Linked DNA regions of Saccharomyces cerevisiae S288C. The protein of the gene in region 1 interacts with the protein of each later gene in a pairwise test. Each region holds a gene or a part of one and is shown in the gene's direction. Other genes may lie near its edges. The genes, in order: CIA1 and NAR1.

What was found.
Region 2: the proteins of CIA1 (region 1) and NAR1 interact in binary tests that used the Saccharomyces cerevisiae proteins (3 or more experiments, as listed by UniProt).

Annotation. Positions count from the first base shown.
Region 1 is NC_001136.10:998,946-1,006,651, reverse strand, and holds CIA1 (iron-sulfur cluster assembly protein CIA1), read left to right. Parts: upstream 1-3,149; coding exon 3,150-4,142; downstream 4,143-7,706. Other genes in the region: Cu(2+)-transporting P-type ATPase CCC2, read right to left, coding at 1-977; tryptophan--tRNA ligase MSW1, read right to left, coding at 1,509-2,648; E3 ubiquitin-protein ligase HEL2, read left to right, coding at 4,629-6,548; PEX10 (ubiquitin-protein ligase peroxin 10), read right to left, coding at 6,775-7,706. UniProt on the Saccharomyces cerevisiae protein: Essential component of the cytosolic iron-sulfur (Fe/S) protein assembly machinery. Required for the maturation of extramitochondrial Fe/S proteins.
Region 2 is NC_001146.8:195,094-203,366, reverse strand, and holds NAR1 (iron-sulfur cluster assembly protein NAR1), read left to right. Parts: upstream 1-3,389; coding exon 3,390-4,865; downstream 4,866-8,273. Other genes in the region: kexin KEX2, read right to left, coding at 1-939; LAP3 (bleomycin hydrolase), read right to left, coding at 1,434-2,798; ZWF1 (glucose-6-phosphate dehydrogenase), read left to right, coding at 5,424-6,941; ATG2 (Atg2p), read right to left, coding at 7,265-8,273. UniProt on the Saccharomyces cerevisiae protein: Essential component of a cytosolic Fe/S protein assembly machinery. Required for maturation of extramitochondrial Fe/S proteins. May play a role in the transfer of pre-assembled Fe/S clusters to target apoproteins.

The DNA of each region.
Region 1 (7,706 bases):
CATGCTGCCTTGTAAAAGTAAAAACCAACGCTGAACTGAATATAGCTTGCCAATATTACACCCAAAATATCTCTGTAGAACAGACCTCTAACAAAGGAGGTTTCTTTGTAAGGGAATATGCGGTCCTGAACAATTGTTGGCCACATCATAGGGACAATCATATACAATAGCATACATATTATAGCCAAAAGGGTGGATTTTATGCTGTTTTTTTTCCAGAATCTTATCTCGTCCTCTTTAGAGAGAAGCCTTAACTGGGTAGTATTATCTAAATTGGAAAATACAGTGAATTTATATCCGGTCCTCTCAAGGTGCCTCAATAAATCTCTAATGCCGAGTTCGTTACAACAGTATTTTATGGTGAGTGTGTGCATATCATCAGAAATTTCTATCGATTTTACACCTAGGTCTAACAAAAATTGAAACCTTTCGCTTACTGAAGAAAGTATGAGTGGGGATTCGTCCTCGAAAGCCTTAGTTACTTTCAAGATCACCGTTTTTTCGGTCATGTCTGCATTCCCGTTGCCATCCATAATAATATTTGAGTCAAATCCACAGTCTTCAATCATTTCTCTGGCGGTTTCTAGCGTTGTCTTGGACGGTTCATAAATAACATGGCACTCTTCCGTTACCAAGGAAACGACTACCGATTCAACACCCTCAATGCCTTCCACTTGTTTGGTGACTGTAGAAACACAAGACCCACAGGTCATACCTTGTACACTCAGTAGTCCTTCCTTCGTACTTATGGCTGTAATTTCAGAATCTCTTAGTATCTCACAGTCAAATCCACAATCCTCTATAATTTCCTTAATAGAATCGGCGGTAACCTCGTTATCGTATGTCACCTGGCACTCATTAGTCACTAAACTAATATCACATTTTGTTACACCCTTTAAAGCTCGTAACTGCGTATTGATTGTATTAGTACAGGCGCTGCATGTCATTCCATGTACAGCAAGTATCACTTCTCTCATTTCGTTTTAAGTATTAAACACCTCAACTCCTTGGCCGCAAAATTTACGAAATATCTCAAATACCTTTGAAAAGTAGCTTAGTACCAGGCAGAATTAAAGTCTAATCCATATGTCTCAAATTTGAGAAGAAATCCATTAGTTACCGTGACTTCCCTAAATATATACAAGTGTGTGCAAAAGGTCTCGGAATCACCGGTGCAAACCCTTCGGCAGCTAATTGCACTCATCGCCGCACTGCACCCGTTCTTTTCCACTGCCCGCGAAAATCGCTACTACAAATAACTGCACCCAGGACAATACTTACACAGATCGACCTGTTTTCGAGCCAGACGGTGGCAACACAACATTCTAACGGTGCTGGCCCTCTGCAAGAGACTGTACCAACATCTGCGTATTTTTCAAGATACTAACGTTTATTGATGAGATCTGCCGAGTGAGGAATCTTGCATATTCTGAAATAACAAAGATACGTACAAGTTAAACTGTATTATTATTTACATTGCGTTTGCAGCAGCCTAAAGCCGGGGACAGTCAGAAGCCCATTATTTTATGAATGTCGGCCAGGTTTTTTGCTGCTTTTTCTCTCGCTTTGCGCATGCCAGATTCAACGACACTATGCAAATAGGTCGGTTCGTTGATATATTTCTCAAATTCTGTTCTTGGGCCTTTCAATTCCTCAATTATCACTTCTGAAACATAATCTTTGAAATCCCTATAGTTATTGAAACGAGATACATCTTCTACGACATCTTCAATCGATTTTCTTTGAATGCCACTGACAATGTTAATTAAATTCGATACGCCTGGTCTTTCTACAGGGTCGTAGTAGAACCTATCAGAAATGGAATCTGTTAAAGCTTTTCTAATCTTTTTCTGAATTGCCTTAGGCTCATCATTCAAAAAAATTACAGAGTCGTGATTCGGATCACTCTTGGACATTTTCTTTTCAGGCGTGCTTAAGCTCAAAACTTTTTTCGTTTGTGCCAACATAGTTACAGGTTTAGGAAAAAAATTTTTCTTGTACATTTTGTTAAACTTTTCAGCAAGGTGTCTTGTTAGTTCCAAATGCTGCGATTGATCATCGCCAACAGGAACGTGTGTAGATTTATAAAGTAGAATATCCGCTGCCTGTAAAACAGGATACGAAAATAAGCCCAGTCTAACTTTTCCCACGTCAGAATCGTTAACCAGATAATCCCCATTAGTTGATTGTTTGATATTCGATTTTGATTTCCATTGCGTCATGCGGTTAAGTAATCCCATCGAGGCAAGAGTAGAAAGCAACCAGTGTAATTCACTGTGTTGAGGGATGGCGGATTGGTAGATCACCGAAGCCTTTTCTGGATCTACACCGACAGCCAGTATACTTGCTACTGCCTCATGGCGAAATTTTCTAAACATTTCTCCATCTGGCTTTGGAACAGTGATAGCGTGTAAATCAGCAACTCCAAATATCAATTCCTGGCCAGGTTGTTTTAATTCACATAAGTCTGTCCAAACACGTGTAGCACCTAGATAATTACCAAGGTGGAAACACCCAGTTGGCTGAATCATACTAAATACCGTAGCATTACTATGAAGCGCTTCGGAATTCAGCTTAAAATCGGCACGTTGCACTGTGCTTATCCACCTTTTACTGATTAACTTCAGAACCGCCTGCTTATTCGACATCTTCCTTGTAAAAGATAGTGTAAATATTTATCAAAACCTGATTCACTCCTTAGTAACGTAAAACCTTTGAGATGGTGCAGGTAGCCTGTAATAAATCATAATACCCTTTTCTACTTTCTCGAAGCCGATTTTATCACGTGAAAAACAAAAAATACCTTTGCACTTCTATCTTGTTTTGTGTTGCCTTTATAAGGAGAAAAAGATCTTCAAGAAAAGGTCATACTAATTGTAGAAACGTTTGAATTTAAGGAATCTGACTCTGATGTGCATAGCAGTGTTACTACTATTTATTTTCTTGAAAAATACCATCGTGATTGCCTTCAAATAGGTCATCTAAAACTTTCTGCTCTCAGCGGGCCGTGTTTTGAAAAATCTCACATCGAATATTGTATCGTCTTTGCCTCATTAATTGCGAATAAATACTAGATTTGTAGATATCACAAATCAAAATCGGGCTATACCACGACATTTTAATAGTTCAATTGGTTTACTTATTTGGTAATGGCGTCTATCAATCTGATTAAGTCTTTGAAACTTTACAAGGAAAAGATATGGTCTTTTGACTTTTCTCAAGGTATATTAGCAACAGGTTCAACTGATCGAAAAATTAAGCTAGTTAGCGTGAAATATGACGATTTTACGTTAATTGATGTGCTAGATGAGACTGCTCATAAAAAGGCGATTCGATCTGTGGCGTGGAGACCTCACACTTCGCTGTTAGCGGCTGGCTCTTTTGATTCCACTGTATCTATCTGGGCTAAGGAAGAATCTGCTGACAGAACTTTCGAGATGGACCTGCTAGCTATTATCGAAGGTCACGAAAATGAAGTAAAAGGTGTAGCGTGGTCGAATGATGGATATTACCTAGCAACCTGTTCCAGAGATAAAAGCGTGTGGATATGGGAAACAGATGAAAGTGGCGAGGAATATGAGTGTATTAGTGTTTTGCAAGAACATTCACAAGACGTTAAACATGTTATATGGCATCCATCTGAAGCATTACTGGCTTCAAGTTCTTATGATGACACCGTCAGGATATGGAAAGACTATGACGATGACTGGGAATGTGTTGCTGTCTTAAATGGCCATGAAGGAACTGTTTGGTCTTCTGATTTTGACAAGACTGAGGGCGTGTTTAGACTGTGCAGTGGAAGCGACGATTCCACTGTACGGGTATGGAAATACATGGGTGACGACGAGGATGATCAACAAGAATGGGTTTGTGAAGCTATTCTCCCGGATGTACACAAAAGACAGGTATACAATGTTGCATGGGGCTTTAATGGCCTCATTGCTAGTGTAGGAGCGGATGGAGTACTAGCGGTCTATGAAGAAGTAGACGGAGAATGGAAAGTTTTTGCTAAACGTGCATTATGTCATGGAGTTTATGAAATCAACGTTGTGAAGTGGTTGGAGTTAAATGGTAAAACTATACTTGCAACAGGCGGTGACGACGGGATCGTAAATTTCTGGTCTCTAGAAAAAGCAGCGTAGATGTAGAAGCAAGAGTACAATTCAGGAACTCATATTAACACAGTGATCGATCTGAATTCTAAAAATAAACTTAATGACGATTTTTCTACCTAGTTACATAAACCTTTGTATCACTATAACGCAATTCTGTCATGTGTGACGGAGTGACCTCGTTATACATATCCCTGCATTAAAAGCATGCGGTAAAAACTGAAATTTAAAAATGAAAAAAAAAAAAATTAGATATTCGGAAGACTTGTAATTAAGCATTATCTCGAATAAAGAAAGGTTACACTGAAAGTTTCATACTCGCGGTCACTCTTAATAATAGCTATATTTTCTGATTTTCTCTTAAGATTTTGAAAAGGGCATCTGAACGACTGCCCACTCAGCCATATTCAACAAATCGTCGAGCGCATACCTAGCTGAAAAAGATCCATAAAGTGCATTTTGATACAGTCTCTTTCGTCGAAAAAATAGTGGCTATACTTCTTTTCAAGAATTAGGATGAGCGAATCAGTGAAAGAAAACGTTACTCCGACACGTAACTTCCGTCGTACTCAAGGGCCCCAAAATAATACAAAACCTCACAACGACAGGAAGAATTTCAGAAGAAAGCAAAAGAAAAATAACCTTTCTGCTGAACCCAACCTCACCACTTCAAGCGCAGATGATACTGATGAAGAAAATGAATTATGTGTAATTTGTGCGCGCAAGTTAACATACGTATCTCTAACACCATGCCATCATAAGACATGCCATATCTGTGGTTTCAGACAACGAGCTTTGTACAACAAGAAAAGCTGTTTGATTTGCAGAACGGAGAATGAAGAAGTCATGTTTACCGATCGCATAGATGGTGATATTTCAGATAAATATAACTTTTGCGAAAAAAATGAAAAATATGGAATAAATTTCACTAGCGAAGAGGTTGCTACCGAAACACTAAATCTTTTAAAATTTTTTTGTCCCCTATCGAAGGATGAACAAGTTTGTGACTTTGGTAGTTTCAAGAAATATAATGAACACTTGAAATCTGAACATAACAGAATGATCTGTTTAATATGTGCAACCCATAAGCATGCATTCCCTTGTGAGCTTGAAATATTCACCCAAAATCAATTACGCAACCATCAAACTAAGGGTAATTCAGAAGGATTCAAAGGCCACCCTATGTGTGCCTTCTGTTCCGGAAAACGATTTTATTCAGACGACGAATTGTACATTCACATGAGAAATCAGCATGAAAAGTGCCATATTTGTGATAAGATGAACCCCGCTTCTCCTCAATACTTTAAGGATTATAATCAGCTTTTTGACCACTTTAAACATTCGCATTACGTTTGCACCGTCCAAACTTGCTTAGATAACAAGTTTGTCGTATTTAAAGACGAGTTGGAGTTACAAGCCCACATTTTGCAGGAGCATGGTAATATCCTGAAGGGAAAGCCAAAGTTTTTCCAGTCAGAACTTTCTACTTTTATCTCGGCTCCATCTAGAGTGATCAGGGAAAGAGATGATTACGACCTTCCATCTATATCTTCCCTACCGGGTTCATCATCCGGCTCTAGAACTGATGTGAGATCTGCTAGTTCTCCCGAGGAAAGTAGACTAAGATTGGCAGAAAGAGCAAAATACTATCTGGAAAATTCCAAAGAAGACTTCAATAAGTTTTCTTCTTATAACGAAGATTATTCTAAAGGTCGCTTAAGTGCTGAAAAATTATTGGAATCATATAAATTGTTATTCACAAAACCAAATGCGGATGTATATTTATTGATTCATAACTTAGCTGAAACCTTTCCCAAAAACTCCTCCAAATACAATAATCTGAACGCCATATATGAACAAAGAGAGCAAACCCTTGCACGACAAACTTCACTACCTTCTTTATCTAGTGATTCTTCCCTTTCAATGTCAATAGGCAGGGGCCATTGGGGTGGAACAAACGATGGGGGCAGCGCTGGTGCAGCATTAGGCGTTAGGAATATCAAAAATCTTCCAACCCTGAAAAGTCCTTCAGCGTCGTATGATCCCTTTGCAACCACCGTAAAAAAAAACACTCTGAGACCCGTGCAAAACATTAAAAGAACTACACCTCAATCAGTTAGTTATCGAACTTCCACTAATACAGTCGCCTTCTCTCCAACCTATTTGGAAAGTAAAAAGGGTTCCTCTTCTACTTCTCTAAATAATAGCAAAGATAAATTGAAAAGTCTCAACCTACCTCAACTACCTCCACCAAAGCCAAAGGTGCAAATTCCAGGTCTGAACAGACCCCAAATTGCTGATCCTAAGCAGTGGGGTAAAAAGTCAAGCACACAAGATACTAACGTGCACGATAATTTGAGGGAATTGAACACAACTAGTGGAGGAAATAAAAAGAAAGGCAAACAAAAGCAGCTGTTATTCCACATTGGTGTATAGTTGGAAATATATTTCTAACCTGTAACTGACAATAGCATTAGAGAAATGAAAGTCTTAAATAAAATTCCGATAAAGAAAAACTTATTTAATTAATTAATATAATTACAAGACTAAAAAGCATTATTTCCCCTTCGCGTTTTACTTCTCCTGCTCAGACGTCTGCGTTATTTCTGAAAAAGGCCTGTGGACAATGCTAAAAGAGTAGTCAAATTATTGATTAGTTCCTCTATTGCCGCAGGACCAGAATTTCCTGTGGTTGACAGTGTTGTCTGCACAAGGGGCATTCTGGCCTCTCTTTACACCAGCTCATAAGACAACTCCAACAAAATAGATGTCCACATGGCGCGCAGCTAGGATCACTCATGTTCATGAGACATAGGATGCATTTTCTCGAGGCTTCTGGAATAAATGGCAATTGGTTTTTATCTGACAAATTTATATGAGTCAGCTGCGATTCCTTCGGTATGCCTTCTATAGATTCATGTTCTGAACGCTCCTGTAGACCAACAGACGACCTAGTAATTGAATCATTGGTCCTTTTTCTCCCATAAATCCAGGACCCGAGCGTAGAGGTTAGGACAGGGTACCATTTCATAACATTTTGAGCTAATAGGATATAACCTAATACTTTGTACTTTTGTGAGCCCTCTTCTCTAAAATTGGCCTCATTTTTTGACAATATATGTTTAAAAACATATCTCATACCAAAAATCCTTTTGGAAATACTGTAAAAAGCTCCTTTGAAATAAAAGAGGGTCATGTGTACGTCTAAAATGAAATCTAAAAGGCCCTTACAAAACGCGGCAACACTTTCAGTATCTTCAATTTTACTTTCCTTGTTGTTCTTCATTATTTTCTTGTATAGTTTGGTGATGAAATATGGACATAAAGGATAAGCGAAAGCGAATACAATCATTTTGAGCCGTCCTGCAAGTCTGGTACCCTTCCTATTAGTGTATGTCAAGTCAACATATTCCTCACCTAACGTTCTACCACGTCTTCCTGTAGTAAAGAGCAAATACAGGAGCTTGGCAAATATGGACAGTTCCTTAGGGTAAGAGTTAACAAACAATTGACTCTTTATCAATTTGCACAATTCAGTCACTTTCATAATCAAAAGGCCCTGGATTTGTTCATCTTTTTGATGCGCTTGTACTA
Region 2 (8,273 bases), on another chromosome or scaffold:
TCCACTGGCAAAAACGTAAATCGCTCCTTTGGAATCTCTTCCCTCAGTAACACCTTTTACTAAAGCCTTTTTCACCAGGTCACTAGGGCCTTGTAAATGTCTTCCGTCATCAGCGGGACCCCATGAGCATGAATATATATCGTTTACGTCTAGACCATAAATCAAGGACGCAGCTTCATCTTCCGTAGTGATATCACCGGATAAGATTCTTATGCCTGAGATTTTAGCGTTGTAACCTACCCCGACACCGCAAAAATTGTTACCTTTTTTGGCAGCTATTTCACCTGCACATCTCGTACCATGGTAGTCATCAGATAATCTTGGTTTAGGTAAATTGGTATTGTCGTTGAAATCCCAAGAACCTTCAGCGCAAAAATTATCCTTCAAGTCTTCATTTTCGTAGTCAAGGCCATCATCAACAATGGCAGCCACGACCCCTGCGCCTGTAATATTATTGTACCACAGATCAAGAACATTTATATCACTGCCAGGAAAACTTGGATTGACCAAGTGCCACTGCCTCTCAAAAAGCGGATCATTTATGCTGAGTTTATCCTCAGCTTCTTTTACCGGTAACAAGCTTGAGTCCATTGGTGGAGCAGGCACCGGTAGTCTCTTAAATAGGTCGTTACGCGGGAATAAATCATGGACAGATAATATGTGGTCGTTGTTATCCCCCTGTAACTCTTCTAATGATGATCTTTTGCCCAATTTTAGCAACTCTTTTGAAAAAACATAATGGTTTGGTAGCCCTCGAACATCATGTTCATATTTCCAATTTGGATGCATTTCCTCCAAGCGGGATAATGTTTCATTGCTTTCTACAGCAAAATACTGTCGTGACGTATGGTCCTTCAATGGAATTTGTTGTGATGATACAAGAGCGGATGTTGAAAAGGCCCACCAAAAGCATAAAGTAATATATTTCCTCACTTTCATCTGATAATGGGTTAGTAGTTTATAATTATGTGACGAGGCCAAAAAACAACGGGATTAGTTTATCCTTAGTATGGTAGCCGAATGAATGAAATATGTGGAATAGATTTCTCTTTTACAAAACGGGATGTTTAAGCCAGGAAAAAGAACAGGCTTATGACAGAATTATGCATATGAAACGAGAGAAAGAACACGTCCAGCAAATATGGAGTACCTTGTTTGCCTTTAGAAAATGTTTCGGTTTCAATACTGTTCTCTTCAGCGATGCTGTTGAAGTATCAGCTCAGTTATTTAATATGCTAACCTTTCCTTTGTTTGTTTTCTTTTTCTATCTTTATTTTTTTTCCATTTACCGTTTTTTGCGTTTCAGAAAATGACCCTCATTGATTATATGAATAATAATATACACGTTATCATTTTTTATTTCTTTTATGTATGTATAGTAAAAATAAAACATGTCGAGATACGTGTATCTACATCAGAGCTGCTGAAACTATTTATTTGGCCAAAGCACCCATTGGGTCCCAGATGGGCAAGACAATCGGCTCTTCCTTACCTGAGGTGAATTTTGAAGCCAGCTCTTTTGGCAATTCATTGATATCGACCACAATTTGAAAGCAGTACTCCTCGAAGTACTTTTGAGTCATCACGTATAATCCGTCTTTACCGGAGTCTTTACCCCAGGAATTTTCAACGCGGTAGCGAAGTGGTAATTTAGACGTTTCATCGACGTGGCAGCCAGTGATCAACATAGCATGAGTCATCAAACTTTCATGGTATCTAATACGCGATGCCTTTTGCTGAGGTAAATTATAGCCGATGGCAGGATAGTTCCACAATTCAATATCCATGACACCAGTTTTCTTGTCCATGAACTTTGGAGTGTGAGATCCAAAAAAGACAGCTTTGTTATTTTGTAATCTCTTAACAACCAATTTAGATAGTGTTTCATTGTCAACATTTAAGTAAATCACGGCATCTCCGCCAAGGACGTTTCCTAAACGATCGATCTTAATTAATTTACCATATGGGTGTCTTGGATCATTGATCAATGAGACTGGCGTGGAAGGGTCCAATTTTGCGTATTTGGAGGCAAATTCTAACGGAGTCGATTTGATAGTGTGGATTTTCTTGTCTTTGTCAACGTATTCCCAAGTGAATTGCTCGTTTGGTTGCACTGGAGGTATGTCCATGAACAACGACATCAACCTGAAGATTTCTCTTTGCATTTGCTCTCTCAGAGTGACAATTATGGAATCATCGGCAGAACGCTCTTTCAAAGCTGTTCTTAGAGTCTCGGCAAATTCTCTCAGTTTAGTAGTCAACAGAGAATTCCATTTTCTGGACGCAGTAGTAGAATAAGGTAGATCCCCGTATAAATCTTTGGGGATAAGGCCATACTTCTTGACTAGGTTCAAAAACATGCTGTATTGGCCACCGTCTTCTGTTGGAGCTGCTAACAAGTATTGCACGAGACGTGAGTCGATGTCTTGATCAGCCGAGGAGACGATTTGGTCCAAGAAATAGTTGGCCTTTTCCAACTTATCGTAAAAGAACAAGTAAGCTTGGGACAGTTCGAATTCTTTTAAGTTCAATTCAGAAAGAACATTCAAGCGCAGTTGATTGGTAGCGGCAAACAACCAACATCTACCAGAGCTTTTTTGGTTGGTGACTGGAGTGGAATCAGTAGAGACAACAGTGTTGAAAACCCTGTTATCTTGCTTTTGCAGTCTAGTCTTGTTCAACAGTGCATCATCGGCATTATAATTCTTAAGGACAGTGGTTGCCAATTGATGGGTTAAGTCGGATTGAAACTCTTTGTTCCAAGAGTTGATCTTACTGATATCGATGGAAGAGGACATTCTTTTTAAAACAATTTGTGGTGCTCGTAAAAGGTGGCTTCTAAACGTCTTGAGATACAAGGACCGGGAAACAGAAGTAGGAAGCATGTAACAAAAGAGCAAGGGCTATTTATCGTTTATTTATGGGTGCCCGTCGGCGACTTGTCAGCCGGCGTTATCAATTGATTACCACATGCAACCCCATTGATTAAGAGAGCAGGTGACTTTCTGGTGGGAGGGGAAAAAAGGATGTGTCACTCACTACCCGGCGATTGCATGCTATTTGACACATACTAAAGCAAAATAACATATGTAGCATAATCAATAAAGCGACTATTTTCTAAATTTCAAAAAGCACTGAATATACGATGCCTCTTCACAGGATTAAGAGACAAAATTTGCCTGTTTGTAAAGCATATTGCCTGCCTTTCCGCTAGTTTTTTCTTTTCCACTTCCTATTTTCTTTTTTTACCAGTTTTCCCTGCTCATCGCATGAAGAAAAAAATGATAAAAGCGTTTTATGGTGATGACTAAGAAACTTGTCTTGTCAGCTGGAAAGATAAGAGAGGGAGCTTCCTTTTCCTGAGTGACAAGATAAGTGTACAAGAAAGCATGAGTGCTCTACTGTCCGAGTCTGACCTAAACGATTTTATCAGTCCCGCCCTTGCGTGCGTCAAACCTACCCAGGTGAGCGGGGGCAAGAAGGATAACGTTAACATGAACGGAGAATACGAGGTGAGCACGGAACCAGACCAACTGGAGAAGGTCTCTATTACCCTATCAGACTGCCTCGCGTGTTCTGGTTGTATAACGTCTAGTGAAGAAATCTTGTTGAGTAGCCAAAGTCACTCGGTTTTCCTGAAAAACTGGGGGAAGCTTTCGCAGCAGCAAGACAAATTCCTCGTTGTGAGTGTCTCGCCACAATGCAGACTATCTCTTGCGCAGTACTACGGCTTAACATTGGAGGCGGCCGATTTGTGTTTGATGAATTTTTTCCAAAAGCATTTCCAGTGCAAGTATATGGTTGGAACGGAGATGGGCAGAATCATATCGATTAGCAAAACCGTAGAGAAGATCATTGCGCATAAGAAACAAAAAGAAAATACCGGTGCGGACCGCAAGCCTCTATTATCTGCTGTGTGTCCGGGATTTCTTATATACACGGAAAAGACCAAACCGCAGTTGGTGCCTATGCTGCTCAATGTCAAGTCGCCTCAGCAAATTACGGGCTCGTTGATCAGAGCTACGTTCGAGAGTCTCGCTATCGCGCGTGAGTCCTTTTACCATCTGTCGCTGATGCCATGTTTTGACAAGAAACTAGAAGCGTCAAGGCCAGAATCGCTTGACGATGGGATTGACTGTGTCATTACGCCACGTGAAATAGTGACAATGTTACAAGAGTTGAATTTAGACTTCAAGTCGTTTCTTACTGAGGACACAAGTTTATATGGGCGGCTATCACCGCCGGGATGGGACCCGCGAGTCCACTGGGCGTCGAATCTGGGAGGCACTTGTGGTGGCTATGCCTACCAGTACGTAACGGCTGTCCAACGACTACACCCAGGAAGTCAGATGATAGTTCTGGAGGGTAGAAACAGCGACATTGTCGAGTACCGATTGCTGCACGATGATCGCATAATAGCCGCCGCCAGCGAGCTTTCCGGGTTTAGAAACATCCAAAATCTGGTGCGTAAACTGACCTCGGGCTCCGGGTCAGAGCGCAAGAGGAACATCACCGCTCTGCGGAAGAGACGAACAGGTCCAAAGGCGAACTCACGCGAGATGGCGGCCGCCACGGCCGCCACGGCCGATCCCTACCACTCGGACTACATCGAGGTAAACGCGTGTCCGGGTGCATGCATGAACGGTGGTGGCCTACTCAATGGCGAGCAAAACAGTCTCAAGCGGAAGCAGTTGGTTCAGACACTGAATAAGCGTCACGGAGAGGAGCTAGCAATGGTAGATCCTCTAACCCTGGGACCCAAGCTAGAAGAGGCGGCAGCCCGCCCGCTTTCGCTAGAGTACGTCTTCGCGCCCGTCAAGCAGGCCGTCGAAAAGGATCTCGTCTCTGTTGGGAGCACCTGGTAAGTAAGGTGTAGTTTTGCACCCGTGTACATAAGCGTGAAATCACCACAAACTGTGTGTATCAAGTACATAGTGACATTTAAATAATAGCAAGAACAACAATAATAGTAGCGCTACTGGAAGCACCACGTAATAGTGGAAAAGAACTGGAAAAACCGCTATAAGATGCATACTCCGGCGGTCTTACGCGGAGATACAAGCTTCCAACGGTGCTAAAAGCCCGGTTTCGGCTCGGCCGGAGGAGGAAGAGAGACGAAAAAAAAAAAAATGACTAAAAAAAAAATGGAATATTATTAATGTGGGATTTTTGGCTCAAGGTGTGGTGGCCCCTTTTCTAAGGGTGGCGAATTCTTCAATGTACGGAAAACTCGCCAAGGCTATCCCATATATAAGCAAACTGTGGGTTCATCTATATACCGACACATAACACCTAAAGTGGCTTCCTCCTGCCCCTCTCTCCCTTTTCTCCACTCACCCCTCCTTCTCCCCCTTCCCCCTCTCCAATTGGCTGTATAGACAGAAAGAGTAAATCCAATAGAATAGAAAACCACATAAGGCAAGATGAGTGAAGGCCCCGTCAAATTCGAAAAAAATACCGTCATATCTGTCTTTGGTGCGTCAGGTGATCTGGCAAAGAAGAAGACTTTTCCCGCCTTATTTGGGCTTTTCAGAGAAGGTTACCTTGATCCATCTACCAAGATCTTCGGTTATGCCCGGTCCAAATTGTCCATGGAGGAGGACCTGAAGTCCCGTGTCCTACCCCACTTGAAAAAACCTCACGGTGAAGCCGATGACTCTAAGGTCGAACAGTTCTTCAAGATGGTCAGCTACATTTCGGGAAATTACGACACAGATGAAGGCTTCGACGAATTAAGAACGCAGATCGAGAAATTCGAGAAAAGTGCCAACGTCGATGTCCCACACCGTCTCTTCTATCTGGCCTTGCCGCCAAGCGTTTTTTTGACGGTGGCCAAGCAGATCAAGAGTCGTGTGTACGCAGAGAATGGCATCACCCGTGTAATCGTAGAGAAACCTTTCGGCCACGACCTGGCCTCTGCCAGGGAGCTGCAAAAAAACCTGGGGCCCCTCTTTAAAGAAGAAGAGTTGTACAGAATTGACCATTACTTGGGTAAAGAGTTGGTCAAGAATCTTTTAGTCTTGAGGTTCGGTAACCAGTTTTTGAATGCCTCGTGGAATAGAGACAACATTCAAAGCGTTCAGATTTCGTTTAAAGAGAGGTTCGGCACCGAAGGCCGTGGCGGCTATTTCGACTCTATAGGCATAATCAGAGACGTGATGCAGAACCATCTGTTACAAATCATGACTCTCTTGACTATGGAAAGACCGGTGTCTTTTGACCCGGAATCTATTCGTGACGAAAAGGTTAAGGTTCTAAAGGCCGTGGCCCCCATCGACACGGACGACGTCCTCTTGGGCCAGTACGGTAAATCTGAGGACGGGTCTAAGCCCGCCTACGTGGATGATGACACTGTAGACAAGGACTCTAAATGTGTCACTTTTGCAGCAATGACTTTCAACATCGAAAACGAGCGTTGGGAGGGCGTCCCCATCATGATGCGTGCCGGTAAGGCTTTGAATGAGTCCAAGGTGGAGATCAGACTGCAGTACAAAGCGGTCGCATCGGGTGTCTTCAAAGACATTCCAAATAACGAACTGGTCATCAGAGTGCAGCCCGATGCCGCTGTGTACCTAAAGTTTAATGCTAAGACCCCTGGTCTGTCAAATGCTACCCAAGTCACAGATCTGAATCTAACTTACGCAAGCAGGTACCAAGACTTTTGGATTCCAGAGGCTTACGAGGTGTTGATAAGAGACGCCCTACTGGGTGACCATTCCAACTTTGTCAGAGATGACGAATTGGATATCAGTTGGGGCATATTCACCCCATTACTGAAGCACATAGAGCGTCCGGACGGTCCAACACCGGAAATTTACCCCTACGGATCAAGAGGTCCAAAGGGATTGAAGGAATATATGCAAAAACACAAGTATGTTATGCCCGAAAAGCACCCTTACGCTTGGCCCGTGACTAAGCCAGAAGATACGAAGGATAATTAGAAAAATGCAAGCACATTCATTTATCGGCTAAGTCACTGAAATTTTTTTTTTCGAGTGATTTTATCTTGCAAGCTCACTCTCTTTGTTCTTTTCTCCTCTATAATGGCATCTTCCCCCCACCAACTCCTCTCTACTTGCGTGTGTATTTGTTTGTATACATGTGTAAATATATATACATAAAAGAATGTCGTCTCATGTATTTTTTAACTTTTAGCCGCGGTCAGTGACATTTTGGCTTTCCCACCATTCCACGTCTGAAAAAAAAAAAAAAAAAAGAGATAAAATATGAATTGAATATATATCAAAAATGTCTGCAAAAATTTTTACGAATCAGTCCGATTGGACTTGTACTTATCATTGATTTGCTCGTTATGCGTCTTATCCACTTGATTAGCTATTCCCTGTAAAGTCTTAGACACTGCCTCAGTGGCCCCAATTAACGGCCGAATAATTGCCACAGGTGCAGCTCTAGCAACATAAACTGCTGCGGCGCTCGGCCCTCCCCGTTTATCATCCTTCATCTGTCCCTTTGCCCTCCATACCGCATCGTACGCAATATGCATATGCTTTTCTAATGAACTATACGCCTCCTTCAAACCCGTGGGCAGGTCGAGGGGCTGATCTGCGTACAGACTCACTATTGTGGGTTCGTTGTGATCTCCCGGTGAAGACATATCGATGACTACTGCCGTGGGCTCATGATCTCTTATCCTGGAATATTTACTACCAACTAACTGATCCTCCTCGAATAAAGTATCCAAGTCTAATACAGCTGCAGTATCACTGTCTGCACCATCAGCGGAGCCAAATTTCGATGCATCGTACACCCTGCCATTGGAACCAACACCACCGAATAGTTCCTCGGTGTTCTCCAATATCGCCTGTGTCCCTGAAGTTAATTTAACTCCCAATTTCACAAAATCTCCCGTTGTCGTTTTCAAGAAGACATTGCCACCCTTTTTCAGACTCCTTCCCAAATGCCCTTCTTGCCTGTATTCTGACATTAGTACTGTGACTAGGGTCTTCACCCCTGACCCAATCGCCATAAACGATCTGACAGGAGCCAGTCCTTCCAAAACGCCAGGCAGCTGCTTTTTGGTAATATCCGGCGTCCAAATGGCTTTCAGTTTATTATTTAATTCATCGAATCCATTTAATCCATACAGGACTACGCTTTTCAAAATAATCTTGGATCCATCAAGGGTAAAAAAATTCATCAATTCAGAAGTTTGGCCCGATCTTAAACCCGCATAATCAACTTTTTTCGGCTTATAATCTAATCTTAACTTAATTGAATTAGTGCTAAATTTTTGAATAAATACAATATCTGGA